Macaca mulatta: one gene and its partners. The protein of the gene in region 3 purifies or fractionates together with the protein of the main gene of each other region. This does not show direct contact. Links are inferred from orthologs where the notes say so. Each region holds a gene or a part of one and is shown on either strand. Other genes may lie near its edges. The genes, in order: ARPC5L, ARPC2, ARPC1A, ACTR3, ACTR2, ARPC5 and ARPC3.

Evidence for each region.
Region 1: the proteins of ARPC1A (region 3) and ARPC5L fractionate together in Homo sapiens (co-fractionation; 7 studies listed by BioGRID and IntAct, with this or other methods). This does not show direct contact. The link is inferred for Macaca mulatta from reciprocal best matches to the Homo sapiens genes ARPC1A and ARPC5L.
Region 2: the proteins of ARPC1A (region 3) and ARPC2 purify together in Homo sapiens (affinity purification with mass spectrometry; 8 studies listed by BioGRID and IntAct, counting the BioPlex papers as one, with this or other methods). This does not show direct contact. The link is inferred for Macaca mulatta from reciprocal best matches to the Homo sapiens genes ARPC1A and ARPC2.
Region 4: the proteins of ARPC1A (region 3) and ACTR3 purify together in Homo sapiens (affinity purification with mass spectrometry; 7 studies listed by BioGRID and IntAct, counting the BioPlex papers as one, with this or other methods). This does not show direct contact. The link is inferred for Macaca mulatta from reciprocal best matches to the Homo sapiens genes ARPC1A and ACTR3.
Region 5: the proteins of ARPC1A (region 3) and ACTR2 purify together in Homo sapiens (affinity purification with mass spectrometry; 9 studies listed by BioGRID and IntAct, counting the BioPlex papers as one, with this or other methods). This does not show direct contact. The link is inferred for Macaca mulatta from reciprocal best matches to the Homo sapiens genes ARPC1A and ACTR2.
Region 6: the proteins of ARPC1A (region 3) and ARPC5 fractionate together in Homo sapiens (co-fractionation; 8 studies listed by BioGRID and IntAct, counting the BioPlex papers as one, with this or other methods). This does not show direct contact. The link is inferred for Macaca mulatta from reciprocal best matches to the Homo sapiens genes ARPC1A and ARPC5.
Region 7: the proteins of ARPC1A (region 3) and ARPC3 purify together in Homo sapiens (affinity purification with mass spectrometry; 8 studies listed by BioGRID and IntAct, counting the BioPlex papers as one, with this or other methods). This does not show direct contact. The link is inferred for Macaca mulatta from reciprocal best matches to the Homo sapiens genes ARPC1A and ARPC3.

What each region holds. Positions count from the first base shown.
Region 1 is NC_133420.1:22,905,215-22,909,374, reverse strand, and holds the start of ARPC5L (actin-related protein 2/3 complex subunit 5-like protein), read left to right. Parts: upstream 1-1,279; 5' UTR 1,280-1,365; coding exon 1,366-1,515; intron 1,516-4,160. UniProt on the Homo sapiens protein: May function as component of the Arp2/3 complex which is involved in regulation of actin polymerization and together with an activating nucleation-promoting factor (NPF) mediates the formation of branched actin networks.
Region 2 is NC_133417.1:123,429,451-123,433,623, reverse strand, and holds the start of ARPC2 (actin-related protein 2/3 complex subunit 2), read right to left. Parts: upstream 2,888-4,173; 5' UTR 2,877-2,887; coding exon 2,803-2,876; intron 1-2,802. UniProt on the Homo sapiens protein: Actin-binding component of the Arp2/3 complex, a multiprotein complex that mediates actin polymerization upon stimulation by nucleation-promoting factor (NPF).
Region 3 is NC_133408.1:46,590,173-46,593,839, forward strand, and holds part of ARPC1A (actin-related protein 2/3 complex subunit 1A), read left to right. Parts: intron 1-1,466; coding exon 1,467-1,542; intron 1,543-2,671; coding exon 2,672-2,865; intron 2,866-3,667. UniProt on the Homo sapiens protein: Probably functions as a component of the Arp2/3 complex which is involved in regulation of actin polymerization and together with an activating nucleation-promoting factor (NPF) mediates the formation of branched actin networks.
Region 4 is NC_133417.1:23,708,079-23,712,297, reverse strand, and holds the start of ACTR3 (actin-related protein 3), read left to right. Parts: upstream 1-1,304; 5' UTR 1,305-1,513; coding exon 1,514-1,557; intron 1,558-2,126; exon of another isoform or gene 2,127-2,288; intron 2,289-4,219. UniProt on the Homo sapiens protein: ATP-binding component of the Arp2/3 complex, a multiprotein complex that mediates actin polymerization upon stimulation by nucleation-promoting factor (NPF).
Region 5 is NC_133418.1:59,439,925-59,443,591, forward strand, and holds part of ACTR2 (actin-related protein 2), read right to left. Parts: intron 227-3,667; coding exon 81-226; intron 1-80. UniProt on the Homo sapiens protein: ATP-binding component of the Arp2/3 complex, a multiprotein complex that mediates actin polymerization upon stimulation by nucleation-promoting factor (NPF).
Region 6 is NC_133406.1:41,104,561-41,108,227, forward strand, and holds part of ARPC5 (actin-related protein 2/3 complex subunit 5), read right to left. Parts: intron 1,280-3,667; coding exon 1,103-1,279; intron 1-1,102. UniProt on the Homo sapiens protein: Component of the Arp2/3 complex, a multiprotein complex that mediates actin polymerization upon stimulation by nucleation-promoting factor (NPF).
Region 7 is NC_133416.1:117,616,668-117,620,777, reverse strand, and holds the start of ARPC3 (actin-related protein 2/3 complex subunit 3), read left to right. Parts: upstream 1-1,254; 5' UTR 1,255-1,331; coding exon 1,332-1,337; intron 1,338-4,110. UniProt on the Homo sapiens protein: Component of the Arp2/3 complex, a multiprotein complex that mediates actin polymerization upon stimulation by nucleation-promoting factor (NPF).

The DNA of each region.
Region 1 (4,160 bases), on a different chromosome or scaffold from region 3:
CTGCCTCAGCCTCTCGAGTAGCTGGGATTACAGGCCTGCGCCACCACACCCGGCTAATTTTGTATTTTTAGTAGAGACGGGGTTTCAGCATTTTGCTCAGGTTGATCTTAAACTTCTGACCTCAGGTGATCCGCTCGCCTCGGCTCCCGCAGTGCTGGGATTACAGGCGGAGACTTTTCTTTAGCGCCAGTTTCCCACTATGGGAGTCTGTATCCTGGTTACCACGGAAGATTAGGTTGCATCATAGTCTGGCAATAGTTTTTTGATCTTTAGACACAGTTCAATGAGAAGTATTCGAAGCAGTAAAAATGAATCACATTCCAACTTTTATTAACAAGGGTACTATTAGATGAAAACAGTTTTCATAGTATTATATAAAAGACCCATTTTACTTACCCTAAGGCTAAGATCAATTAACAGAACCCCTGGGGTAACAGCCCAGGCACCAAATCTGACACCTCAGAGTCGTCCTTGACTTCCCTAACCCGCTTTCCCGCATCTCAGATTCTGAGAATTTGGTTTCTATCAAGATGTGCCTCTCAAGCCAGGCCTCTCCTGCCAGGACGGTGGCCACAGGGCCATCTCCCTCTCCTGGGGCCCCAACTGCCTGGTCAAGGTGACTGCTACACACGTGGGGCCGCAAAATCCCTCGAGTCACAATGTCTTCAACGCCTTGTCAGCCCTCTGATCGCACTAAACGTCTTTAAAGCCTCCCACTCCTTTAACAGGGTCACCTCTGTGTAAAGGAGACCTCCTCGTGCTAAGTGTGGCGGCGTTCAAGATTCCAAGACACAGACCCCTCCCGCGTCACTCCCCGGGCACAGGAACTCCTACTCATCCCTCAGTCATCAGCTCGAAGGTTTCTTCTCCAAGAAGCCTGCCCAGCACCCGAGAAGTAGAGCCCCGAGCCTTCTCCCGGGCGCCCAGTCTTCCCCCGTACAGGCAAGGATCACCCCGGAAGCCCGCGCCGGGCCCCGCTGAGGCCAGGGGTTCTTCGGAGGCGCGGGAAAGCCGGATCACCAGCGCGATTACGGCACACACTATGCGGGGCCTGCAAGGATACCGGGCGGCCACTCCTCAGTGGTAAGACAGAGGCTCCGCGGAAGAGAGACTGAGGTCGGAGAGGCCGCGGAAACCCCATAGCGCACTCCACGGGACAGGTTCCGCCCCGCCCCGATGACGCTTCCGGATCCGGCGTGTGCCGGAAGTGGGCGGGCGGCGGCGGCTGCGCGCGGAGGCGGTGGAGGAGGTGCTGGGAGCAGCCCGGTGGCCGCTTCCCGCCCCCGAGCCGGAGCCGGTGCGAGTGGAGCAGAGCTGAGGTCGGGCCGCGAGTGGAGCCGGCTGAGCGGGCGCCGAGCTCCCGCCATGGCCCGGAACACGCTGTCCTCGCGCTTCCGCCGGGTGGACATCGACGAATTTGATGAGAACAAATTTGTGGACGAGCAGGAGGAGGCGGCGGCGGCGGCGGCGGAGCCAGGCCCGGACCCGAGCGAGGTGGACGGGCTCCTGCGGCAATATCCTTTCCTGACGCGGCGTCCGGGCCTGCGCGCGGCCTTCCCACCTTCTCGGGCCCCTTCGGGCGGGCCTCTGCTGTCTCCGACCCCCGGCCCCCTCAGGTCAGCCTTCAACTCCCTGCCGACCTGACTCCCCTGGGCCGTGCTCCCCTGAGTCCTGGTCTCCCTGGGTCCTTCCTCCCCAGCCCTGGCCCCTTCTTGTGCAGCGCAGCCCCGCAGGCCCTTGGACCCGGTGGACGGGCTCCCTCGGTAGCCCCGCAGGTCCCGCGCCCCGGGCTCTCTTCCCCTCTTGCCTCCTCGTCCCCTCACGCTGTCCCTTTCTGGGGGCCCCAGCACTCCGTCCCTCCCTTGCAGGAAATCGGGCCTATGGCGGGGCTGGGTCGGCGGCAGGGCGGAGGTGAGCCGTATCTGAGTAACCGAGTGATCGGTGAGGCTGGGGCGCGGTCTTCCGGGGCCAGATTGCCGCAGGGCGTGAAGATAGGTGGGTGGACCGCTGTGGGGAAGACAGGACCCAGGAGGGAGTGGAGGCGGCCGCCCTATTTCAGCCCTGGGGTCTAAGGTTGTGCCTCCCCTCCCCCAGTCAGTCTAACCCTCCCGCTTAATGCTGAGAAAGGGAAACCCTGTGGTTCCTCTGGTCACCTTGGTGGTCTCAGCTACGCTCAGCAAGTGAGTCTTGGCTCCCCCCAGTACCCTTCTGGTGCAGGAAGCAGCGGAAAGAACTAGTAGTTCAGAGCTAAGAAAAACCAGACACCTTGAAGTGAAGTGTGAAAGTAGAGCCCCACGCCTGGAAATGACTGTTCTTGTGGCCACAGAAAACAGCATTTAGAAAAGATTAAAAATAGAGGTGATTGTCACAGCCTTGCTTGGTCCTTTAGCAGTATGAGCGCAGGAAACTGACTTATTCTCACCGGAAGGATTTTTCTTTATTCAAATGGTGTTCCAGGAAGCCTGTCCCCTCCCCCCGCACGGGCGGGGGCAGGGTTGGAGGCCCATGCTGTACATAAATCAGGTTCTCGGTGTTGAACCAGTTGACTCAGCTTGGAAAGTGGGGCCTGCTGCTTTAGGGGGAGCCCGGCAGTGCTCCTCAGTGTGCCTTTAAAACGAAAACCTTCAGACTTGGTTTGAACAGGAATGTGTTTTCGGAAGTGGAGATTCAAGCTTGTCATTCCTGCCCCATCAGGATCTCCCAGTCCACCCTAGTTATGAAATGGGGTCAAGGGAAGGGTCCCCAGGAGGGAAGGTTGGTTGTAGTCAGGTGCAGGGCCTGGCTTATGGAGAGTCAGTGCTGAAGGGGGCTCCAAGGTCAGGCCTTTGGCCCAGGACCCTCATTGAACAGATGAGGAGGTCAGGCCTGTCAGCTGCTGCCTTGGTCTGGGTGCAGAGCCTTGTTGAAGGTCATGTCTTGGGATTCCCCTGCCTGGTGACAGGTTCCTTGAGGCTGCTTAGAGGCCTGGGTTTAGCACATCCCGGGGATGGTCGTTTCTCCATTCATGGCAGCGGCAGAAACCTTGTTACCATGGAGAGTGTTCCACCTGGGGTTGGGGAAAGGGAGGTTAGCGGATAAAGAGAACTGAAACCCTGGCAAATACCGGACCCAGGTAGGGAGGAGAATGGAACTGATATTTATTGGGTCTCTATCATGTGCCAAGAATTGGACTTAGACCATTGAGGACAGGGGAGCAGGGAGAGGGATAGAGGGATTGGGGTTGGGGAGGGCAGAGAGGAACCCTGTCCTGGGGCTATATAGGGAAGTGTGTGTGGCGGGAGATCACGCAGATGGGGTAGAAGGAACTCGGCTGTGCATCTTCGCACACCGCGCGCCATCATGCTCTGGCTCTGACCTCGGATAGGTCACATACCCTTTCACAACTCAGCATTCTCCTCTGTGACGTGGCAGACAGCCGTGCTGGCTTCCTAGGTTCTGTGGGAGCCTCATGGGCTAACATCAGCATCACGGGGCACACAGCAAGTGTCTGCTCAGGTCTGCAGCTAGAGCGGCAGCACGGGATTGTGGGAGGAGCTTGGGTGCCAGGGCCATCTAGACAGCTTAGTTTTGTGACCCTGTGCAGGTAATTTCCGTTCTCTGAGCCTCAATTCCATTGCCTTTCAAATGAGATAATGATTGTTGTTACTGGGATTTTTGGAATGAGATGGCATGTGAAAGCACCAGGCACAGGATCCGAGACCTTGTGGCGATTTAAAAGTATGAGTTCCTTTCCCCTCAGTGAAGCAGCTTCTAGACTTCTGGATCAGGGCTCTGGCCAGAGCAGTGGTTTTGAGCGATTTTGCACCCCTCCTCTCCACCTCAGGAAATTAGAAACATTTTGATAGTTACAGCTTGGGGATGCCACTGGAATCCAGTGGGCAGAGGCCTATGACCCACAGCTGAGATCCCACGTCAGAGAATCGTGGGTCCACAGTGTCAGTTGTGCCGTGATTGAGGAAGATCTAGAGATCAAGGGCTGGGCAGGGTTCCCCCAGCACCACAGCCTATTCTCTGAAAAGGTCTAAAGCCAGCCAAGTGTGACAGCCGGCTTCATGAATGATAGGTGATTTCAGGGAGGCCCTCCCTGCACCCCACATCACCCAGCTGCTGAAGGCCCTCACCCATCAATGGACCGAGTGATTGCTGGACACGTGGTGCTG
Region 2 (4,173 bases), on a different chromosome or scaffold from region 3:
CTGGTCACTTGTATGGCTATCCTATTGGACATCACAGAGATGGAAGATGCACTCTGGAAAAGGCTGCTCTGAACTGTAATTTCCCCAACTGGTTTATTCTGAGAAGTGCAAAAAGTAGGGTGGAGCTGACCTCTCCTAGCAGGTTCCCACACCAGCAAGGCCTTTCAAATCTCCGGGGTTTCTCCTCCAAATTACTCCCATTCTTTAATCTCTTTCTCTGATCTCCACCCCAACACCTTTCACCCTTTAGCACCTCCCTAACTTGGCTAATAGGCTCTCAGAAAGGCCCCTTTTTTCTGTTGCTGCCTGGGCTGAGCACTGGTAGAATCCCATACATGTTTATGATAACCACACTGGGCAAACTTTGCTGAAGTTCTGGAATAGGCATGCACCTTGCTTTACCTTACTGGGATGCCTGGTAATTTCCGCTTGCTTCATTCGGGCTTCTGCTGGGTGATATATCTGTAATCCCAGGAGAGCCCTGCCTACTAGGCAGGATATTGTGGTCTTTTAAAAGACTTTCAAAGTTTCAAATTCTCAGCAGAATGTTCTGAGCCGCCTTATTGAAAACCAAATCTCAAAGAGGGAGATGGGCCAGAACGAAAGCCTAAATTTATACACACACACACCCGTACATGTGCACAAGCACACACAGCAGTGCACCCCCATACAAGTTCCCTACAATGCAAATCTTTGTAAAAAATGAGGACAGGCGCGGTGCTGTAATCCCAGCACTTCGGGAGGCCGAGGTGGGCGGGTCACCTGAGGCCAGGAGTTTGAAACCAGCCTGGCCAACATGGTGAAACTCATTCTCTACTAAAAATACAAAAATTAGCTGGGTGTGGTGGCGCGTGCTTATAATCCCAGCTACTTGGGAGGCTGAGACATAAGAATCACTTGAGCCTGGGAGGGCGAGGTTGCAGTGAGCAGAGATCGCGCCACTGCATTCCAGCCAGTGAGTCTGTCTCGGGGGGAAAAAAAAATGTCCTGCAAGTCCTAACGTTTTTCTTCCAGACTTGAGGGCCTATTTAATCCCTCCGAAATGGTTAGCTGCTTCTTTTAAGAATAACTTTTTAAAAGAAAAAGAAAGAACTGAAGTTCCGAATAATGGGCCATATTTTGGAATCACAAGTCATTAATACACAAATAGACGAGAATGTACTCCTATGTTAAAAGACATGCCTCTTCTTGCAAATACACAGCCATTTATCTTGTAGATCAGCTTATAACCGCCCAGGTCTCATTCTTTGCTAGTCTGGACCTGAGAATGCATTAAGATCAGTTATGAAAATGCAGAAGTTAATTCAACTTCCTCCTATGTGCTACACTGCTCAGAAAAAAGTATACAGCAATCACCCAAAATAAGACTCTGGGCTGATTCATTTGAATATCTAAAATGCAAAGAAACTGGTAAGAGAGGCTAAGACAAGAAAGCAGCAAGTCAGCCTAAAATATAAGCAACTGCAGCCCCTGGCAGGAAACAGTACTGCTCACTACACATATTACTTCAAGGAAAGTAGTGCTTTGTTTTACAGATAAAATCTGTTGCCTTATAAAGGAGACAGGACATACTATATATTCAATTTAAATGGTAGTTAATACTTTTTAATGCCTCCAAGCCACAAGTACATTATGACCACTTAAAAATTCCCCTCTACCAATCTTTTCCCATCTGTGGATCTCCAAGTAGTTTCCTATTACTAGCTCCCAGTTCACCAGAAACAGTCTGCTCTTATTTCCTCAACTGTGAAACCCAGATGTGAAGCCCCATGCTTACAGATAGGGAAATGAGGCAAGGGGATTGGCCATAGGCCACCAAAAATTAGAACCCAAAACGCTTAGCTCATGTTTTAAATATATTAGAAAAGCAAAGCAGCTTTGGAGGAGGAGGTTGTCTTCTACTGATTCTTGTGTTTGGCAGAGAAGGCTGCCTTGGAAATACGACCTAAGCCCATCTTTTAAAAAGTCCAACTGTAAAGAGAGGTTATCTAAGAACTTTATAGATTCTGGAGGCTTTGAAGTGTGTAACTGGGCCAAGGCTACCACGGAAGAAATCACAGACCAAGGGTCTTGATGTAAGAATTTACAAGATAACCAGATAAAGGCTAGTGGGCGAGGAGAGAGCATTAGAACCTCAAAGGAGAGATAAGGAACGGGTGTGGAGCAAGGGACAATTAGCTTTGCTTGAAAACTATGTAACAAAATGGCCCAGTGTCTCTCACAGAAGGGTTCGGGAAAGGGAAACCAGAGATCGCGTTTTTCCGGCTCTAAGACTGGGTTGGCTTTCAGTCTTCTCTTCTGCTCCTTTTAGAGCAGACGGCAGCGGGGAACGAGAATGCTGGTGGCGACGTGGGCCTGCATCTCCTTTCCTCCTCCAGTCCTGGGAATTCCTGAAAACTCCTTCCAACCCAATTCCAAACAGGCTCTCTCTGGGTTCAGAACAATGCCAGGGAATTTCACGCAGGGAAGGGGTCCCCTTCTCGCCCTAGCGGGCAGGGGGCTCCTCCGGCGCGAGTTCCGGCCCCAGCGTCCCCCACGTCCCACAGGTCTCCTGCCCTTTGGCACGCACAGCCCTCACCACTCGCTGCTTCCGCATCCCTCCTCTGAGCCTCTCCCCACGCATCTCTGCCCCTCGCCCGGCCGCGCCCAATCGCCTCCCACCTCTACCCCGCTGGGGCAGCCCCTACACCCTGCCAGGCACCCCATTTCTCTCCTCCAGGTCTGGGGGACTGGACGACACTGGGGATTAGCTGGGGTCAACTCTGCCTCCCCCGCCACCCCTGGCCCCGGGCGCGCGCTCACCCGGCGGCCGCGTTCTCGAACTTGAGCGCGAGCGTCTCCTCGATGATGCGGTTGTTCACCTCCAGCAGGATCATGGCGGCGGCTGCCCCGAGCAGGGGAAGGAGAAACAAGGGCCGGTGAGGGTGGGTAAGGTAGGGAAGGACGGAGGAAGCGGCCCTGCTGCCCCCTGAAGGGACCTGGGTGGGGTAGGAGGTTAGGGGAGAAGGGGAGAGGGGCCGGGATGGAGGGAAGGGTAAGACGCACGCGCTGGCCCACGCACGCAGACTGTGGAGACACCCACCCACCCAACCAACCAACCGACCTGGCCCCCAAAGCCTGAACCCGCCTGCCGAGCCGCCGCCGCCGCCGCCGCCACTGCCGCTTCACCGACAAGCCCAGTCCCCGCCCAGCCCCCGGCTCTAGCCGGCCACTTCCGCTCTCACACCCACTTCCGCTCGCCGCCTGGACGCGCGGCCCCGCGGCGCCATTTCCGCTTCAACCCCTCGTGAACGCGAGCGCAGGCGCGCCGGAGGAAACGGAGACTGCGCTTGCGTATGTCTGATGCCGCCACCCCACCCTCTACTTTCTCACAGACCCCCTTACGTCTACAGCCTACCAGTGCGTCCCCCGCGGAGCTGTCATTCCCCGAGGCTTGCCTGACTGTCCAGGTTCTCACTCCCGCTTGTCCCAGAGATCCAACTCCGTTCTTCCGGTCTTGTCATTTCAGAGACCTCGCAAGAAGCTCGCCCTTGTAGTCTCCCAGCGGGCTTCTTTGCTCCCAGCTTGTTTGCTGGGGGTGCCTCTTTTTCTTTCCAGGTATAGCTGTCCAGCGACACCATCAGACATTCATTTCTCCAACAAACATTTTCATGGGCTCTTGCTCTATACTGGGGATGTAGTGGTAAATGAAATAGATGAGGCCCTGCCCTCGTGGAACTTAGAGTCTGGTAGAGGAAACAGACAATAAAATTTTCAATTGTGTAAGGAGGTAGAGATGCATGGGGAGAGGATCAGAGTAGGGATGCGGAAGCAGCGAGTGGTCAGGAGTGTACGTACCAAAAGGCAGGAGACCTGTGGGACGTGGGAATAGCTGGGGCCGGAACTTGCGCCGGAGGAACCCCCTTGCCCGCTGGGGCGAGAAGAGGACACTTTCCTTGCGTGAAATTCCCTGTATTGTTAAAAGGACAATTAAGGAAAGGAATGAGAGGTCACCTGGGTGAATAGGCAACTTAGATGGGCCTCCCTGTGTTTCTGTCATGCCTCCAATTCTACGTCCAGGTGTCCAGAACACATTTTTTTTCTGCTTTTGAAACCTTCCAGTACCTCTGGCAGAGATACACCCTCCTTGTTACCTGAGTGCGGAATCTTAACTCCTCTTTGTGCTACATCCGC
Region 3 (3,667 bases):
ATGTAGTCTTTCAGAAAATTTCTCTACATAAACAAGCACTTATATATCTTTTCATTTTTAACAGAAATGAGGTTATACATTTTATACATTTTTGTATACATTTGGTAATTTGCCTTTTGATACTTGATAATACTTAGGTATTTTGATGCCAGTGTTACTTAATTTTTATATGGTTTATTGTGACACAGTAAGTTCTTAGCATATGCTTATTACAAGTCCCTATCTACCCTCATATTGACTTCTTTCCCTTTTCCAGTCCTGCAAGTCAGATTACATGCTCCACCCTTCCGCTCCTCCAACATAAATATCTCATGTAGTAAAAGTCAGGTATACCACACTAAGGGCTTCAGATGACACATTAATTCTTCAATGGCAACTTTATGAAGGGCGTCCTGAGACATGTACAGTTAGCTTTTATTTTGTTATTATTTAGAGAGACACTCTCTGTCGCGCAGGCTAGAATGCAGTTCTGCAATCATAGCTCATTACAGCCTTGAACTCCCGAGCTCAAGTGCTCCTCCCAACTCAGCCCCTCAAGCAGATGGGGCCACAGATGTGCACCACCACGCTAGGCTAATTTTTTTTTTATTTTAATTTTTCATAGAGACTGGGTCTCACTATGTTATCCAGGCTGATCTCAAACTCCTGCCTCCAGCAATCCTTCCGCCTCAGCCCCTCAAAGTGCTGAGATAACAGGTGTGAGCCACCACGCCCAGCCACAGTCAGCTATTGAATGCATCGTTTCTTGCATGAAGTGAGGTGCTCCTAACTCATCAGCCAGTGTGTTTGCCTGCCATATCTGTGTAATCTCTTTGCCACACTCAAGAGCAAATAACTACATGCACACACGTGTCCCTGCACGCACACATACACACACACGGCCCATTCGAGTGCGAGCTCCTGGCTAAGACCATTTGGTTCATTTTGGTGGCTCTAATTGCTGACACAGTGCCTGGCCGTCAGCACAGATGTGTGTGGCCACAGCCGTCTCGGAGCTCCGGGGAGCACAGGCAAGGAGAGGGTCCTAGCACAGGTGTTTGCTGCCAAGTCATAGTAACAGAAAGAGCTCTAGGAGCTAAGAGCAGGGAGAAGCTGCTTTAGGCTGCAGTGGCCTCTGGGAAAGTGGACCGTGGGATCATGGGGGTGATCCCTTTAGAGCTGTGCTGGGGGTCGAAGGGCGTGGGCGGAAAGACAGGGCTTTGGGAACCAGTTTGTCATGAGTGGGCGGGGTCTCAGAAGCAGGCGGGAGGAGCCCAGGCTGGAGCTGGAGCCGGAGCCGGAGCCGGAGCCCAGGGCCACCCCTGGCTCAAGAGGCCTGCAAGTTGAGGTCAGAGGCTCCTTTTCAACATAAGTGCCCGTTGATACTGCAGAAGCCCCTGTGAGAATGGGTCCTTTGTTGTCATCTGTGTCTGTAAAGAAGCTAATAGTCTGTTACATCTTGGGATAACAAACGTTCTTGTGTTTAGGGTCTCAACTCTGAAGACGGAGTTCCTGCCGCTCCTGAGTGTGTCATTTGTCTCAGAGAACAGCGTCGTGGCTGCTGTGAGTATTTTTCTTCATTCTCCCTCGGGGTGCACTGTATGTGATGCTCAGACAGGGAACAATGTGTGCTCTGTCACCCTAGCACAAAGCAGAACAGTTTTTTGTTTTTTGGTTTTTGGTTTTTTTTGAGACAGAGTTTCGCTCTTGTCCAGGCTGGAGTGCAGTGGGTGATCTTGACTCACCGCAACCTCTGCCTCCCGGGTTCAAGCGATTCTCCTACCTCAGCCTCCCGAGTAGCCGGGATTACAGGCATGTGCCACCATACCTGGCTAAATTTGTATTTTTAGTAGAGATGGGGTTTCTCCATGTTGGACAGGCCAGTCTCAAACTCCCGTCCTCAGGTGATCTGCCCACCTCGGCCTCCCAAAGTGCGGGCGTGAGCCACCGTGCCTGGCCTTAGAGCTCACTCTTTTTTTTTTTTTTTTTTTTTTGAGACGGAGTCTCGCTCTGTCGCCCAGGCTGGAGTGCAGTGGCCGGATCTCAGCTCACTGCAAGCTCCGCCTCCTGGGTTTACGCCATTCTCCTGCCTCAACCTCCCGAGTAGCTGGGACTACAGGTGCCCGCCACCTTGCCCGGCTAGTTTTTTGTATTTTTTTTTTAGTAGAGACGGGGTTTCACCGTGTTAGCCAGGATGGTCTCGATCTCCTGACCTCGTGATCCGCCTATCTCGGCCTCCCAAAGTGCTGGGATTACAGGCTTGAGCCACCGCGCCCGGCAAGCTCACTTTTAAGAGTAAGAGCAGGTGGGGCACGATGGCTCACGCCTGTAATCCCAATACTTTGGGAGGCCAAGGCAGGTGGATGACCTGAGGTTGGTAGATTGAGACCAGCCTGGCCAACATGGTGAAACCCTGTCTCTACTAAAAACACAAAAATTAACCAGGGCATGGTAGCGCGCATCTATAATCCCAGGTACTTGGGAGGCTGAGGCAGGAAAATCACTTGAACCCGGGAACCAGAGGTTGCAGTGAGCTGAGATCGTGCCACTGCACTCCAGCCTGGGCAACAGAGCAAGACTCAATCTCAAAAAAAAAAAAAAAAGTAAGAGAGGCCTATCATGGTGAACACTCTGCCAAGGAGCTGGGCGGTGGGCAGTGTGTCCTCCAGGGACTGACTGAGTCTCGTTTCAGGGCCATGACTGCTGCCCAATGCTCTTCAACTACGATGACCGCGGCTGCCTGACCTTCGTCTCCAAGTTAGACATTCCAAAACAGAGCATCCAGCGCAACATGTCTGCCATGGAACGCTTCCGCAACATGGACAAGAGAGCCACGACTGAGGACCGCAACACGGCCTTGGAGACGCTGCACCAGAATAGCATCACGTAGGTGCCGTCTGTAGAAAGGTGGTCAGGTGACAAGGTGCCCTCCTGCCCCTCGCCGTTTTCTTACTGGGTTCCTACAAAAGCTCTATGCCCCGCAGGCCCAGGCATTCCTTCAGTTACAAGTGCAGCAAGAAGTCCGTATCTTCCCGACTGCCAGGCTCTCATTTCCAGCTCGTGATAGGGAGAGAGTCGCCACCACCTGGTCATTCTATCCTTCAAGGTGCAGATTACAAGGCAGCAGCCAGCAGCAGCTGTTGCAATCCGAGGTGGTGGGGCTTCAGGGCAACCGCTTCCTAGGGCACCCTTTCTCAGCTACTCAAGAATGAAAGGAGACTTTCTTGAATGCTGCGTTCCCATGGTAGTGCACACATAACAGAAAGCGAAGTTACAGCCTGTTTGAAAAGGTAACTGTAACTGTCATTTCAAGTAATGGATACAAAAAGAAGATTCTTTAATTAAAGAAACAATTTCTTAGCATCATGATGACAAAGCTGAGGAGTGTTTCAACTGGGTTTTCATAGGGTATATGTAATTATGTAAGACAACAGAATTGTGTTTTGTCCAGAAAGTTTGATATTTATTTATTTATTTATTTATTTATTTATTTATTTATTTTGAGACAGAGTCTCACTCTGTTGCCCATGCTGGAGTGCAATGGCACAATCTCAGCTCACTGCAACCTCCGCCTCCCAGGTTCAAGCAATTCTCCTGCCTCAACCTCCCGAGTAGCTGGGATTACAGGTGTGTGCCACCACACCTGGCTAATTTTTTGTATTTTTACTAGAGACGAGGTTTCACCCTG
Region 4 (4,219 bases), on a different chromosome or scaffold from region 3:
TTAGATGATCTCACGGACTGAATAAGACATCCTTCCTTTTAAAGAATATTTTTATTTTAGCTTCACATTAGCAAACTCAGAATGGTTTATTGTTAAGATCAGCCTGGTAGAGAGGAAAGCTATTAACCTTCTAGGGTCCTAAAGTGGAACTAGGAACTGATTAGATACGCAGATTTTCAGGCATTATTTCAGACAGCCCAGTCAGAGAATTCTGGGGGTGTGGCCCAGCAATCTGTTTTAACAAACCTTTCGGGTGATTCTGACACACACTAAAGTTTGAAAGGTTTCTTTAAGGCTTTCCAGTTTTCTTTTCTTTTTTTGGAGGGATGGTGGTGGTGGTGGGGGGGTCTCCCTATGTGCCCAGACTGATCTCGAACTCCTAGCCTCAAGCTATCCTCTCCTCCCACCTCGGCCTTCCAAAGCATTGAAATTACAGGCCTGACCCACTGCGGCCCGCCTCCGTCTTTAACTTAAAAAAAATTTTTTTTGGGGGGGCTAAATCCCTTCTATTATCCCGCTAGTAGAATCTTACTACTCCTGAGGGTAATCTTTGTCATAGTCCAAAAGCCTTGAATAAAGGCTGTTTGTAGTTTTGCAGAATATATTCCTGGGCGGTTTGCCTTCCTCAGGAGCTCAGGCCTTGGGAGGTGGGGGTTGGAGGGCAGGGCTACATTCTGAAGTCCTGTAACAACGCACAAGTACAACTGAATAAAACTCGGAACAAAGGCATCAGGGCCACGGTGCAAGCCTTTGTTCATCCGTTCCCCGACTGCTCACCCTGTGTGATATCGCTCTTTTCCACCCAGAAAAGCAGCCACTCAAGTTTTAAGAATGGATGCATGCCGCGGACGTTTTCGATTAGGCCGTTTTCTCCCAGGCACTGGAGGATATTCGTGGCTGCAGGAGGCGCTTCCACTCTTTCCTCAACCTAGCAGAGAAGTAACTGAAACTAACCCAAGGGCTACCACCGAAAAGCCCCTTCCAGCTTCAGAAGCAGAACTAGAAGCTCGGCTAGACTTCTCCGTCTCTACCCTCCTGGAAAACCCGCTGTGGATTTCACTAACTTCAGGATCGGAGCCCCGGCAGGCGAACGCACCTTATTGCGCATGCTCGCTAGCCCCTCCCGCTCGGAGCGGAAGGGGGAGTGCTCGGGGCCTGGGCCTGGCCTGGCCGGGGCGTCGGCACCGGCGGCCATCTTGGCTTCCCGGGGAAAGGCGGCGTGAGGGGAAGAAGTTGTAGGGTGGGGGCAGGAGTGGGGAGGAGGGAAGAGAGAGGGGGAGGAGGCCGCGGCGGGGCAGGGCGGGGACTGCCTGCCTGCTTGGGTTGCGGAAGTGATAGCCGCTGACCGAGCCTGCTGCTTTCTTGCTACTGCTTCGGCTTCCCGGCTACCCCCCGGACGGTGAAGGCGGCCCGGCTGTGGATGGTCAGATAGCGCCTGTCTCCCGCCGCCAATCTCTGGCCCCTAGCAGCACGGAGCAGACGGCGGCAGCAGCAGCAGCAGGCGAGGAGGAAGATGGCGGGACGGCTGCCGGCCTGTGTGGTGGACTGTGGCACGGGGTAAGGGGGCTTACGGGCGGGGGTGGGGAAACTGAGGCGGAGGAAGGAAAATGGCGGGGGAGGGAGGAGGCCGGGAAATGAATGGTGCGGCGAGGTGCTGCCGCCGGCTGTCAGTCCTAGACTCGCCGGCCAGCGAGGGGTGGGGCCCGGAGCCAGGGCCTCGCCGGTCCCCTCGTTTCTCCCTCCTAGGACTGGGGCGGGGGCGCGGGCCCCAGATTCAACCCCCAACCCTCCCTGCAGCTTCCTCCGCGCGACCCCTCCCGGCCCTTCCCCCACGGCGGTGGGCAGTGCCGCCCAGAGAGTGCTAGGGACGGTCGTCTTAGGGGTGGTCCCCGGGCCCGACCCATCCGGCTTTGCTTTCCCTCCGTGTCCCTTTTTGCCAGTCGGTGTGGGGACCCAGGGGCCGAGCTCGGGGACTGGCCTGGTAGAGGAGCTAGAAAAGAGAAGCGCTCCTGGTAGGTTTTGCAAGATCGCTGTGACAACATTCTGCCCAGGGTGTGGGTGGGGAAAGGGAAGAATCGGACTCTGAAAATGGGAACCTACAGTGGGGTTTTCATTTGACCACCCACCTTCTCCTTTCGACTCCCGGTCATTGCCATCTCCCTCTGCGTTTCAACCGGTGAACCGAGTCACATTTTAATTCGAGGGAGAAAGATGTCATGTGTTACTTCTGTAGCCTCAAAAAAGTCCCCCAGTGAGCAAGCGCGCTGTAACTTCCTTAGTTTTGTCAAAGCCGCTTCCTGCTTTCAGTCTTTTATACCCTTATAAGGTAGTTTTTAGTTTCCAACCTGAACACATCTTATTAGAACTTTTAAAATTAAGCAGATTTTAAAGAGACTGAATTACAGGTGCTTGGTATCCATTTATATGACTTAAAAAATGTGCTTATGTTTCATGGAGAGGGGAGAAAGGAAGCACCCTGGGAAATAAACTAATTTAAGTTGTATTCGTTCATTCTGTAAAGGTATCTTGAAGGAAGCAGAAAGGTATAGAGGTATATAGGAATGTGTTTAAGTTGCAAGTAGTTACTCCTAGATCTGTAGGGTAGTTTGCTAAAATGTAGAATGGCTTAAAAGTGATCTTTCATTTTGTATTAATAGACATTTTAGAGAGTTGTACCACACTCATAACTACATAGAGAATAGACTACTCTTATTTTAATGTAGAATCACTGCTTCACGATGACTTATAGGAAGGGTTTTTTTTTTTTCTGTTCTGATTACATCTCTCCAATTCCCAAAACACTCCCAATTTTTTTTTTTTTTTTTGAGGGGGAAGGCAGTGAGAGGCTTGTTTTTTTATTAATTATAATTATTAATTTCATTATTGTTACTTAAAAGATTGTGTGTCCTTCACTCTTTACGTGAAATTTCTTTAATCTTCATTCTCATAACTAGCTAGTGTGGCAGTTTCTAAAATCCCAATTAGGTAGAGAGAAACAACCAACTTCTTAATATTCTCCCTAGGAAAGCACTAGCCTAGATTAGCCTTGGAACTTCCATGTATTTTATTGATGAACACTTTATTATAAAGTTTTTCATGAACACTTTATTATAAAGTTTTTTCTTAATTGGTTCTCATTTCTCGGAACCAATAGTTTTTTTTATTTCCCCCTTCTTAGTCTAATTGATGAGTAGTTTTATGTCTAAGTTCAGTTTTAAAATTAGATTTGGCCTGAGTCAGTAGGATAGAACTTTTTAAATGTGTTTTGTTAAAGTGACGAATATTGCTACATAATTAATGCTTTAGAAATTACTGAGTTGTCAAAAAAAATAGTGTAAATAACTGTGGCCCTAAGAAATAATATGGTAACATCTCAAGTAGTATGTTACTTTTCTAATCTCCATTTTTCCCTCTTTGAAATAGTTTCGAATTAGTATACAGGATGTCTCATTGAGGTCATCTGTCCTTAAGTGACCTCCTTTCCTAAAGGGCAACCTTGAATTTAAAACATGCTGAATGACCAGTAGGATCGGGGAGAGGGGTTCAATTTAACCTAGAGTATTTCTGTTTTAAAATTACAATTATTACAATAGTATATTTTTAAGTTATTACACTGGTTTCTCTGATAAGGAGAGGTTGTTAACTGCACTTTGATGATTTGAATGGAACTGATTAGGAGTCCCCTTGCCACCTCCCTCTCTTTACCATTTGTCACAATCTGAAATTCCCCCTTTAGAGTTTCAGTTATTTTGGTCCTCAAAAGGCTTTTTGGTCTTGCAAGTTGCCAGTGGTGCCTCCTGGGAAGTTACACTTTCAGCTTTATTAGCACATGGAGGATAAGTCCTTGAGGTCGAGGACCCTGAGATAAGCATCTCTAAGTATGGCCTTAACAGGGAGCTTTTACATTTCAAAATTCTGTGGGCCCCGAATGCAAATTGTGCACCTATAATTTGTCTATTTCTTTATGCTTTAGAGAATGCATTCAGTTCTTAGGTCTCTAAATTACAATTACCCACTTAGCTTAAGTAAAAAGTTGTAACCTGAATCAGGTTGCTCATTTCATTCGTTATATAAATTAGGGAAAAGGTGGCTGGAAAAAAGTGGCCATCTGTAAAACTTGATCGTCTTAGATAAGAAAGCTTTTAAGAGTTAGGAAACTTGAAACTTAATCCCAAAACTTGTCGGGATCGTCCAGCAGAACTCAACATATGAATCACCT
Region 5 (3,667 bases), on a different chromosome or scaffold from region 3:
CCTATTTTTGATAAATAACTTTAAAATTTTTTTTATTATTTTTCTGATAAATAACTTTGAAATCACCATTTCTAATATACCTGGTATCAATGTCAGCCGCCTGAATTGTGTTAAAAAGCAATTCAGCAACACCAACTCCTTCAACATTGATCAAGTGAGGCTGAAATAAAGCTTCTGGTGCTTCAAATCTCTCTCCCCCAACTTTGATGATACGTCCATCTGGGAGCTAGAAACCAAGAATAATCAGGTACTAATCAGAAAAGATTAAAATTTCCCAGTGTTCTCCAGAACACTAGTACTTACAAATACATCTGTTCTGTAACCAAAATCATTACCAACAATAACTTTTCCTAAAAAATATTTTGGGGAAAAAAAGGTAAATTAAATAGATTCAGGTAACTGTTCTTATCATCACATTCTGTTTTGCTTTTAAAAGTGGTATGCCATGCCCCCAAATATCAGGAATTTCTTGGAGAAATCACTGATGCATGAGTGCATGACATTTGCAGCAAAGCAGAAACAGCCATCACTAACCAACCACTGTATTTTGATTACTGCTGCTATGTGTTACTGCAGTTTTATAATTTTAACATATTTGTGATTTTATGGATATTTCTGCTATGTAGAATAGACATGTTAAACATTGATTGACTGACTGAGATGGAGTTTCGCTCTTGTCACCCAGGCTGGAGCGCAATGGCGCAATCTCGGCTCACTCCAACCTCTGTCTCCTAGGTTCAAGCAATTCTCCTGCCTCAGCCTCCTGAGTTGCTGGGATTACAGGCATGCGCCACCACGCCAGCATATTTTTATATTTTTAGTAAAGACAGGGTTTCATCATGTTGACCAGGTATTGAACTCCTGGCCTCAGGTGATCTGCCCGCCTTGGCCTCCCAAAGTGTTGGGATTACAGGCATGAACCACTGCACCCAGCTACATCAAACATTTTAAATAATTTTATGTCACCAAATAATTACTCTGTGAAACTATTATTTTGCCATCAAAATACTTTATAACATGTGTGCCACTTCTATCAAATCATTTAATCCAAAAAATGTTTTATGATCAAAGAAGTTTACAGAACACTGATCTAGACTATTTTTATTAGGCAATTCTGTTGTATCCTACTAGGTCCTAATAAATTTTAAATAACTGATAAATATAATTTCAATTTAAGCAAATAAGATTTAAACAAATCAGGTGTCATATTATTATTATTATTTTTTTTTTTTTTATTTTTTTTTTTTGAGACGGAGTCTGGCTCTGTCGCCCAGGCTGGAGTGCAGTGGCGCGATCTCGGCTCACTGCAAGCTCCGCCTCCCGGGTTCACGCCATTCTCCTGCCTCAGCCTCCCAAGTAGCTGGGACTACAGGCGCCCACAACCGCGCCCGGCTAATTTTTTGTATTTTTAGTAGAGACGGGGTTTCACCGTGGTCTCGATCTCCTGACCTTGTGATCCGCCCGCCTCGGCCTCCCAAAGTGCTGGGATTACAGGCGTGAGCCACCGCGCCCGGCCACAGGTGTCATATTATGACTTTGTACAAAAAAACCTTGTCAGTCACACATCATGTTCATATTTAATTAAATGAGAAATGTTAAGTAGAAACTTCCTCTCATAACACCTCACAATTCACTGGATTGTCCTAAGTAATAAGCATGCCCATGTATGCTGGCATTTGACACATTTCTATACAAGATACCAGAATTAATTTTACATTAACAAGTCTAACAGTACATTTATAATATAATTACTTTTTTTTTTTTTGAGACAGAGTCTCGCTCTGTCACCCAGACTGGAGTGCAGTGGCTTGATCTTGGCTCAGTGCAACCTCTGCCTACCGGGTTCAAATGATTCTTATACCTCAGCCACCCAAGTAGCTGAGATTACAGGCATGTGCCACCATGCCTGGCTAATTTTTGTATTTTTAGTAGAGACAGTTTTTGCATGTTGGCCAGGGTGATCTCGAGCTCCTGGCCTCAAGTGATCTGCCCAGTTTGGCCTTCCAAAAGTGCTAGGATTACAGGCATGAGCCACCATGCCTGGCCCTACAATATATATATATATATTTTTTTTTGAGATAGGGTCTTGCTCTATTGTCCAGGCTAGAGGGCAGTGGTGTGATCATGGCTCACTGCAGCCTCAATCTCCCAGATTCAAGTGATCTTCCCACCTCAGCCTCCCAAGTAGCTGGCACTACAGGTGCACACTACTATGTCTGGCTCATTTTGTTTATTTTTGTAGAGATGGGGTCTTGCTTTGTTACTTAGGCTGTTTTTGAACTCCTGGGCTCGAATGATCCTCCCATCTCGGCCTCCCAAAGTACTGGGATTACAAGGATGAGCCACCACGCCTGGCCAATTACAATGATTGTTTAGATTCCAAAACTGACTGATTCTGGTCCCAGCTACCTAGGAGGCTAAGGTGGGAGGATCACCTAACTCTGGGAGATTGAGACTGAAGTGAGCCGAGATCATGCCACTGCACTGTAGCCTGGGCAACAGAGTGAGGAGACCCTGTCTCAAAAGAGAAAGAAAAAAAAGGTTACCAAAACTTACAACCTTAAAAAAGCCACCTCCGTCAGGTGGGTTCACATGAAATCATCCAAAATATTTGGAAAAACTTCGCACAGCAGATCTTACTAGCAAAACCTCCTTCCTTAAGCACTCGAAGCCTGATAGTGTGGCTTCTTTCCATGCTCTGGCTGCTGGCCAACATGGGGTCAAGTTTTCTAACCACCTTAATGAACTGTTAAACGTAGGCATCCCATTTCTTTGCACCAAATCTTACCCTGTTCTGTATTTGTCCACTCATGCCCCTCTTTACTTACTCACCAGCTTATTACTTTATACTTGTGTATATGTGTGTGTATATATCAAATATATATATATATGTAAATACATATATGGGTTTTTGCTTTGTTTTTTTGAGACAGGGTCTCGCTCCTTCACCCAGGCAGGAGTGCAGTGGTGCAATCCTAGCTCTGCCTCAAAACTTCAGCCTTGAACTCCTGGGCTCAAGCAATCTTCCCACCTCAGCCTCTCAACTAGCTAGGACTACATGCATGTGCCACTATGCCTGGCAAATTTTTGTATTTTTTGTAGAGACAGGGTCTTCTTGTTATATTGCCCAGGCTGGTCATGAACTCCTGGCCTCAAGTGATCCTCCTATCTCAGCCTTCCAAAATGCTGGGATTACAGGTGTGAGCCACTACACCCAGCCTATTTGTATATATCTTTGTAGTCTACCTCAAATGCTTTGAGAAAAGAGAGAAGAAATAAAACACGTTTTACATTTCTAGTTTGCTTATCTTTTGCCCTGTGCCAGCCACTTTCTTCCAAACTAATCAGGTAGATGGAAAATTAGACAACTAGAGAAACTATCAAGAAGACTTCAGGAAGGAATCTCCAGAGCAAATCTGGAGATGATTAAGTTACAAAATGGGTTTACTCCTAGAAGAAAACCTAGACAATACCATTCAGGACACAGGCATGGGCGAAGACTTCATGACTAAAACACCAAAAGCAATTGCAACAAAAGCCAAAATAGACAAATGGGATCTAATTAAACTAAAGAGCTTCTTGCACAGCAAAAGAAACTATCAACAGAGTGAACAGCCAACCTACAGAATGGGAAAATTTTTTGCAATCTATCCATCTGACAAAGGGT
Region 6 (3,667 bases), on a different chromosome or scaffold from region 3:
AGCATAAATTGGGGCTATCCTGGGAAAACTGTGAGGAATGGTTACCCTATCCATAAATGTTAGTTCTTTTTGATAGTGTATGAGGGATAAAGTGACTTGACCAAGGCTAAACAACAAGTTTACTATGTACTTTTCTCTTATGTGTGTGTTTTCATTCGGATACACTTCAAACACTTAATATTTTTATGGCTGGTTCTATTTACATGTTATCCAGTTTTTTACCCAAAGCTCAAAATCCCTTGTACTCTTTTGACAGATGATGTACCAGCATCTACTTACATTGCAAAATATATGCATGAAAATAGAAAAAAATGATTTAAGAATTCTTGATCCTCCAAACCCCTAATTCTTTAAAAAAAAGTTGTAAAATATCTAACACAAAATTTGCCATTTTAACCATCTTTAAGCGTAAAATCCATTGGCATTAATTACATTTACAATGTATTGTAGCCATCACCACTATCTGTTTCCATAACTTTTTTACCACTCCAAGCAGGAACTCTGTACCCATTAAGCACTAACTCCCTATTCCTTACTTTTCCTACTTCCTGGTAACCTCTAAGGACTTTCTGTCCCTTTGTCTTTGCCTATCTTAGATTATTTTATATAAGTAAAATTATAAAATATTAGTTCTTTTGTATTTGGCTTATTTCACTTGGTATGTTTTCAAGGTTTACTCATGTTATAGTATGTGTCAGAATGTCATTCCTTTTTATGGTTGAATCATATTCCATTGTATGTATGTACTACAATTTACCTGTTCATCTGTTGATGATCCTTGTGTTGTTTTCACCCTTTGGTCACTGTGAAAGAATTCTTGATTTATACTGCTTATTTTCTTTTACAAAGTTTTGATTTAATTTAGAGTTCAAGATTATGTTTAATTACTAATAATCGTTGCTGAATAAACACAAGTGTTGGAATTAGAATCTCTTAAGACCAAGGCTAGTAAACATAAATATGAACTATCATTTTCATGCATTTTATTTGTAATAAAAAAATGTACAACCAAGTCAAAATGGTTATTCAGGTGAGAGAGGTCGTCACTGTCATCCCCTATTGTAAAAGAACCAGTTATGTAGATTTATAATTCATAATTTACCTTTTCATGCCATTGCAGTAACACAGCACTGCTATTGTCAGAGGGGCTCTCAAATCCTTTATAAATATACTTCATTAGGAGATCCACACCATTCTTGTCCAGAGATTGAACTGCCTTTTCAATATCATTAGCTTTAAAAGAGATGAGCACCTTCAAGACAATGCTGCCTGCCCGGTCCTGGTGAGTAAATAAATAACAGAACATTTAGACGTATCTGTATGAGGATGGTTTAGAATTTCAGAAAGGCCACACTAAGAAGGTGACATTTGAGTAAGGACCTGAAGGACGTGAAAGAGGAAGGCCTGGGATAACTGAGGAAAGTGTTTCAGACAGAGGAAAGAACACACTATTAGTGTGTGTTCAGTGTGTTCTAGGAATAGGAAAAAAACCCAATGTGGTTGGAGTGGACTGGTGGGAGAAAAGCAGGTGAGCAAGTCAGAGGTTATGGGAGGACAGATCGTGTAAGGCCTCCAGGCATTGTAAGGAGTTTGGCTTTTACTGAGAGAAATAAGAAGACATTGGAAGGTTTTAAGAGCAGTGCCATAATCTGACTCACATTTTAACAGGATCGCTTTGGCATCTACGTTACAGAGAATAAGCAGTGGGGGTAGGGGATAAGGCAGAAGCAGGGAGAGCAATTAGGAGGTAATTGCAGTAATACAGGCCGGATGTGGTGAGCACAGTAGCAGTGGAAGTGGTTAAAAACTAGACAGACTATTGACATAATTGAAGGCAGAGCCAAGAGGATTTGCTAACAGATCAATGTGATAATTTAACAATTTATTAAAACAACATTTAAATTTTATGTCTTGATCTTAAAAACAAAATTCCAACAAAACAGCCGGGTGTGGTGGCTCACAGCTGTAATCCCAGCACATCGAGAGGCCGAGATGGGCAGATCACCTGACGTCAGGAGTTCAAGACCAGCCTGGCCAAAATGGTAAAATCCTGTTTCTGCTAAAAATACAGAAATTATCCGGGCATAGTGGCAGGTGCCTGTGATCCCAGCTACTCGGGAGGCTGAGGCATGAGGATCGCTTAAATCCGGGAGGCGGAGAGTGCAGTGAGCAGAGATTGCGCCATTGCACTCCAACCTGGGCAACAGAGTGAGACTCCGTCTCAAAAAAAAAAAAAAAAAAAAAGAAACCCCACAAAACAAGGAAGCAGATTTGCATTTCTACCTTGAATTATTCTTCAGAAGTAATTTTTTCTTAAAAACTTTCTTTTAAAATTTTTAAACAAAGCTGTCTTAAAAGAAAATTGTAATTTATATGAATTGACTGTAGATACGAAATATAGTGATGTTCATTAATAATGATCTTTTTTCTTTAGCAAAAGCCTGCTTCAAAAGCAGTTATTTTCTTACCCATTCAAGCAAGCAAAGGGAACACTTAACTGACCTTTTCAACAATTCGTTTCTTCTTCCATTCAACACAAAGGGCTACCTCCAGCATTCCTACTGGTCAGGATTTCACACAATGTTTCTACTACCTATTGTTATCTTTGGTTTAAAGACTATGCAATCACCAGATTTAGAAAACATATCTTTGCATCCAGGGTAAAAATGAAATTTCAACGACATTCTTTACAACTTGTAAAAACCAAAGCAATTTTTCCCCGATAAAAAATTATGTTACCTAGATAATTATTACACATTTACCTAAGTTATTACTTACTACTACTCAATTGAGATTCTTGAAGCTCCTAGGATGTACGAATAGTTATGGACAATGAGGTTGATGCTATGGGCATCATTTTAAATAAATACTTAAATAGGCTAAGAACTACTAAAAGACTGCAGAGAATGTAAGTTGCACAACCATTCTGAAGGGCAATTTGGCAATACTACATGTACCAAAAGCCTTAAAAAAGTGCGTTCTTTGATCCAGTAATTCACTGCTAGCAATTTATTCAAAGAGAACAATTAAAAATTTACCAAAAAATATTCATTTCAGTGGTTCACAATAGGAAAAGTCAGTCTAAATATATAACAAAAGATTAGTTATGTATACACTGCAGCTTATCCATATACAACTGTTAAAAATGCTATAGAAATAAACTTATTACGAAGGAAATCTCTTGTACATTGCATACAGCCGAAAAAGCAGGTTATAAAATTTCATTCTTAAAAAACAAAAGGGAACTCTAACAATATAGCAAGGCCCCAAAGTAGTAACTGTTATCTCTGGGTAGTGGGACTATAAATGACTATCTTTTTAACCTTCCCATATGTCTGAGCTTTCTATAATAAATATTTAGTATTTGTACAGTTTTAAAAAATCTTTAAAAAGCAATTACAATCTGTTTATTTTTGTAAAGGTTTAACTTATTTTTCAAACCTTTGTTCAAATTCAGCCTGAGTGGTCTCCTCTAAAAACACACACAAATGATTTCACTATTTGAATTCACTGCATCTTACCATGCAGCATTATCATAACTACATTACAGGGCTATTTTTTCACGTGAAATTTTTACCTATCAAACTACATTATAAACTCTTCTATGTCAAAGTTAGCAAACGGTTAAAATATTGGTTTTTTTTTTTTTGCAACTGCAGAGGATTTT
Region 7 (4,110 bases), on a different chromosome or scaffold from region 3:
CATGCTGGGCTGTGAGACTGAACCTCGGAGAGAGGATGGAAAGAACAGAAAGCAGAAAAGAAATGGAGAGTGACTATGGGGCTACTTTGGGCTCTTTGTCAAAAAAGACCTTGCCTAAAAGGTGCTATTTGCCCAGTCACCTGAATGCGAAATCAGATGTGGGAACATGGGGCTCTATTCCAGGCTGCGAACTGGCAGAAGAAATGGCTCTCAGGTAGCAATGAACTTGACTTTTAACGTAAGTTTTCTAGTAATAAATAGGTTAAAAACTCCTGGGCTTTCGGTATGCTCCAAGCATGTAAGTTCTAAGCATTTTACATGTAATTCATTTCATCGTCACAAAATTATGAGGTAAATATTGTTACAACCATTTTCAGGTGAGGAACTGAAGTACAGAGGCAAGTTAACTTGCTCAAAATTATAGAGCTAGTATGTATTGAAGCTGCGATTCAGATTCCAGTGCCCTTCAGTTTCTCCATTTTTAGATGCAGTGCATTGGGTTCATTCATTTACTCAAATACTGATGTTTCCTACATACCATCACTGTTACAGGCGCCAGGGGACAAAACGGGCGAAGTGCTGTCTGGCATTTACAAGGATAGGGAGACAAGCACTAAGAGTAAACTAAATACAAGAATCATAAGAACTAAGGGAAAAAGCGGGAGAGAAGGATAAGGCATGGGGCTGGAGTCGGGTGAATTGAAAACAGAATGACCAGAGGCGGCTTCACAGGAAAGGTGTTTTGTTTGTTTGTTTAAGATAGAGTCACACTCTCACCCAGGCTAGAGTGCAGCGGCACGATCTTGGCTCACCGCAAACTCCGCCTCCCAGGTTCAAGCGATTATTCTGCCTCAGCCTCCCGAGTAGCTGGGATGCTACCACGCCCAGCTAAGTTTTGTATTTTTAGTAGAGACGAGATTTCACCATCCAGGCTGGTCTCGGACTCCTGACTTCAGGTAATCCACCCGCCTCGGCCTCCCAAAGTGCTGGGATTACAGGCATGAGCCACTATGCCCGGCCCTGAAAAGGTGAAATTTGAAAAAAACACAAAAGAGGTGATTGATCGAAGATTCTGGAACCTCAAGACCCATCTCCATTCTGCGCGCGCCTCACGCTGCGCCACTCTGAGGGCCCCTACCTAGCGCTCTGGCGCCCCCTTTCAGATCCGCGCGGCCGCTGCAACCAGAGGCGGAACTACAAAGCCGGAAGCTCACGTCATCACCCCGCCCCTTCCGTTTCGCTTCCGCCTACCCCGCCCGGGCTGCAAGACCGGAAGCGCTCTGCTCTACCTGGATTCTGCTCCTCTGGGTTGGAACCCGGGTGCTGCCAAGATGCCGGTGAGGGTTCGATCCATGGTGTGGGGAGACAGCGGGGATTGCGAAAAGCGGGGAGAAACCTTGTGTGTGCCGAGAGAAGCGGGCGGCGGAAGGCAGAGAGGAAGCGGGGGCCCGAGAAGGAGTGAGGCGAGGGGAGGGGACCGGTCGCTGAAGAATTGGGACAGCCCGCGGGTGCCAGTCGTGGGAGGCGGGGGCGCGGCAGGAGTGGGCCCGGGGTCCAGGGGTCCAGGGTGTGTGAGGAGGCCCTCTTCTCTCTCTCTCCGTCTACTCCTTCCGGCTCCGGCAGGGTTCCCAAAGCGTCACTACAGCGCGAAGCCAAGGGTTGCCCTTTTTATTTTTCATATTTCAAGTCCAGGGTCTAGCTTCTCCTTTTTCTGTGAGGCCCACTTCCTCCTCCGCCCCGGGGGGCAGGCTCCCTCTGCTGTTTGTCATTTGTCAGAACCCACTTCCCGGCAGCGGCGGCCACCCCGGAGCCACCTGGGTATAGGGCCCTCACAGACTCGGTCGGCGCCTGACTTCCAAAGATTTCCTTTTTCGTGTGCATCAGAGTGGGAGTAAAAATCTATGACGGTCTGGTTGTACTTAATTTCTGACAGGCAGTCTGTGGGCTAGATTTATCACCATCATGGTCTCCATTTTGCAGATTCGGGAAAAGGTGGTTCGGTTATTGTGTGATTGTTCACACTTTTTTTGTTTTTTGAGAGAGTCTCGTTCTGTCGTCCAGGCTGGAGTGCAGTGAGGCGATCTCGGCTCACTACAACCTCCGCCACCTTGGTTCAAGCAGTCCTCGTGCCTCAGCCTCCTGGGTAGCTGGGATTACAGGCGCGCGCCACCACGCCCAGCTAATTTTTTGCATTTTAGTAGGGACGGGGGTTTCACCATGTTGGCTGGGCTGGGCTGGAACTCCAGACCTCAGGTGATCCGCCCCCTCGGCCTCCCAAAGTGATGGGATTATAGACATGAGCCACCGCGCCCAGCCTGCTCACACATTATTTTTAACAAACGTTACCGAGCACCTACTGCCTGCCAGGCTCTATTTACAGCAGCAAATAAGTTCAACAAATCCCTAATCTTAAACAGTGTACGTTCAAATCGGGAGACGAGACAATAAAAGTGTAAACATAAAGGAGATACATACAGTAGTGTCAGGTAGTGACAAATGCTATAAAGAAGCTAGATGGATGGCCAGGCGCGGTGGCTCACGCCTGTAATCCCAGCACTTTGGGAGGCCTAGGCGGATGGATCACGAGGTCAGGAGTTCAAGACCAGCCTGGCCAACATGGTGAAACTCCATCTCTACTAAAAATAAAAAAATTAGCTGGGCGTAGTGGCGCGTGCCTGTAATCCCAGCTACTTGGGAGGCTGAGGCAGGAGAATCGCTTGAACCCAGGAGGTGGAGGTTGCAGTGAGCCAAGACTGTGCCACTGCACTCCAGCCTGGCCACAGAGTGAGACTCTGACCCCCCCACTCCAAAAAAAAGAAACTAGATAGGTAACAAGACAGTTTGGTGAAAGGGAAGGCAGAGGGTGCTTTACATAAAGTATACTTGTGATGAAAAGGAGCAAGCCATAGTTGCAAATACATATATATATAGATATATATAGATAGATTTTTTTTTTTTTTTTTTTTTGAGACAGGGTTACACCCCGTCTCTGAGACTGCAGTGCAGTGACACAAACTTGGCTCAGGTGATCCTCCCACCTCAGCCTCCTGAGCAGCTGAGACTACAGGTGTACATCACCACGCCCAGCTAAGTTTTTCTATTTTCAGTAGAGACAGGGTCTCACCATGTTGCCCAGGCTGGTCTCAAACTTCTGGGCTCAAGCAGTCCTCCTGCCTCGACCTCCCTGAGTGTTGGGATTACAGGCGTGAGCCACCTCATTCAGCCTCACAAATACATATTTTATGAATTCCGTAATTACCATTTGACTCCTGAGCTCTGGGGTACACACTTTATAAATTATCCCATCTAATCCTCATAATGACCCTGTGAAGTAGGTACCATGATTCCTATTTTACAGAAGAGGAAACGGAACCTCAGAGAAGTTAATTTGGACAAAGTTGCCTACTAATGGTAAAACCAGATTTTAAGCCAGGACTCTAGGCTGGGTACAGTGGCTTATGCCTGTAATCCCAACACTTTAGGAGGCCAAGATGGGAGGATCACTTGAGCCCAGGAGTTTGAGACCAACCTGGGCAACATAATGAGACCCTGCCTCTACAAAAATAAGAATAAATTAACTGGATGTGGTAGTGCATCTCCTCCCAGCCTCTCAAGAGGCTGAGGTGGGAGGATCACCTGGAGCCAGGAGTTTGAGGCTGCAGTGAGCTGTGATCATGCCACTGTACTCCAGCCTGGGTGAGAGGAGACTCTGTCTCCAAAAAAAAAGGACTCTAAAGCCCTGTACTGGCTCCAGTTGCACATAGAGCACCCTGGATTCACCCTGGGTTGGTTGGTTGGTTGGTTTGTTTGAGATGGAGTCTCGCTCTGTACCAGGCTGAAGTGCAGTGGTGCGATCTCGGCTCACTGCAACCTCTGCCTCCTGTGTTCAGGTAATTCTCGTGCCTCAGCCTCCCAAGTAGCTGGGAATACAGGCATGTGCTACCACACCCGGCTAATTTTTGTATTTTTAGTAGAGATGGGGTTTCACCATGTTGGTCTGGATGGTCTCTATCTTTTGGCCTTGTGATCTGTCAGCCTCGGCCTCCCAAAGTGTTTGGATTACAGGCGTGAGCCACCGTGCCCGTCCCATCCTGTGATTATTTTTTGTCT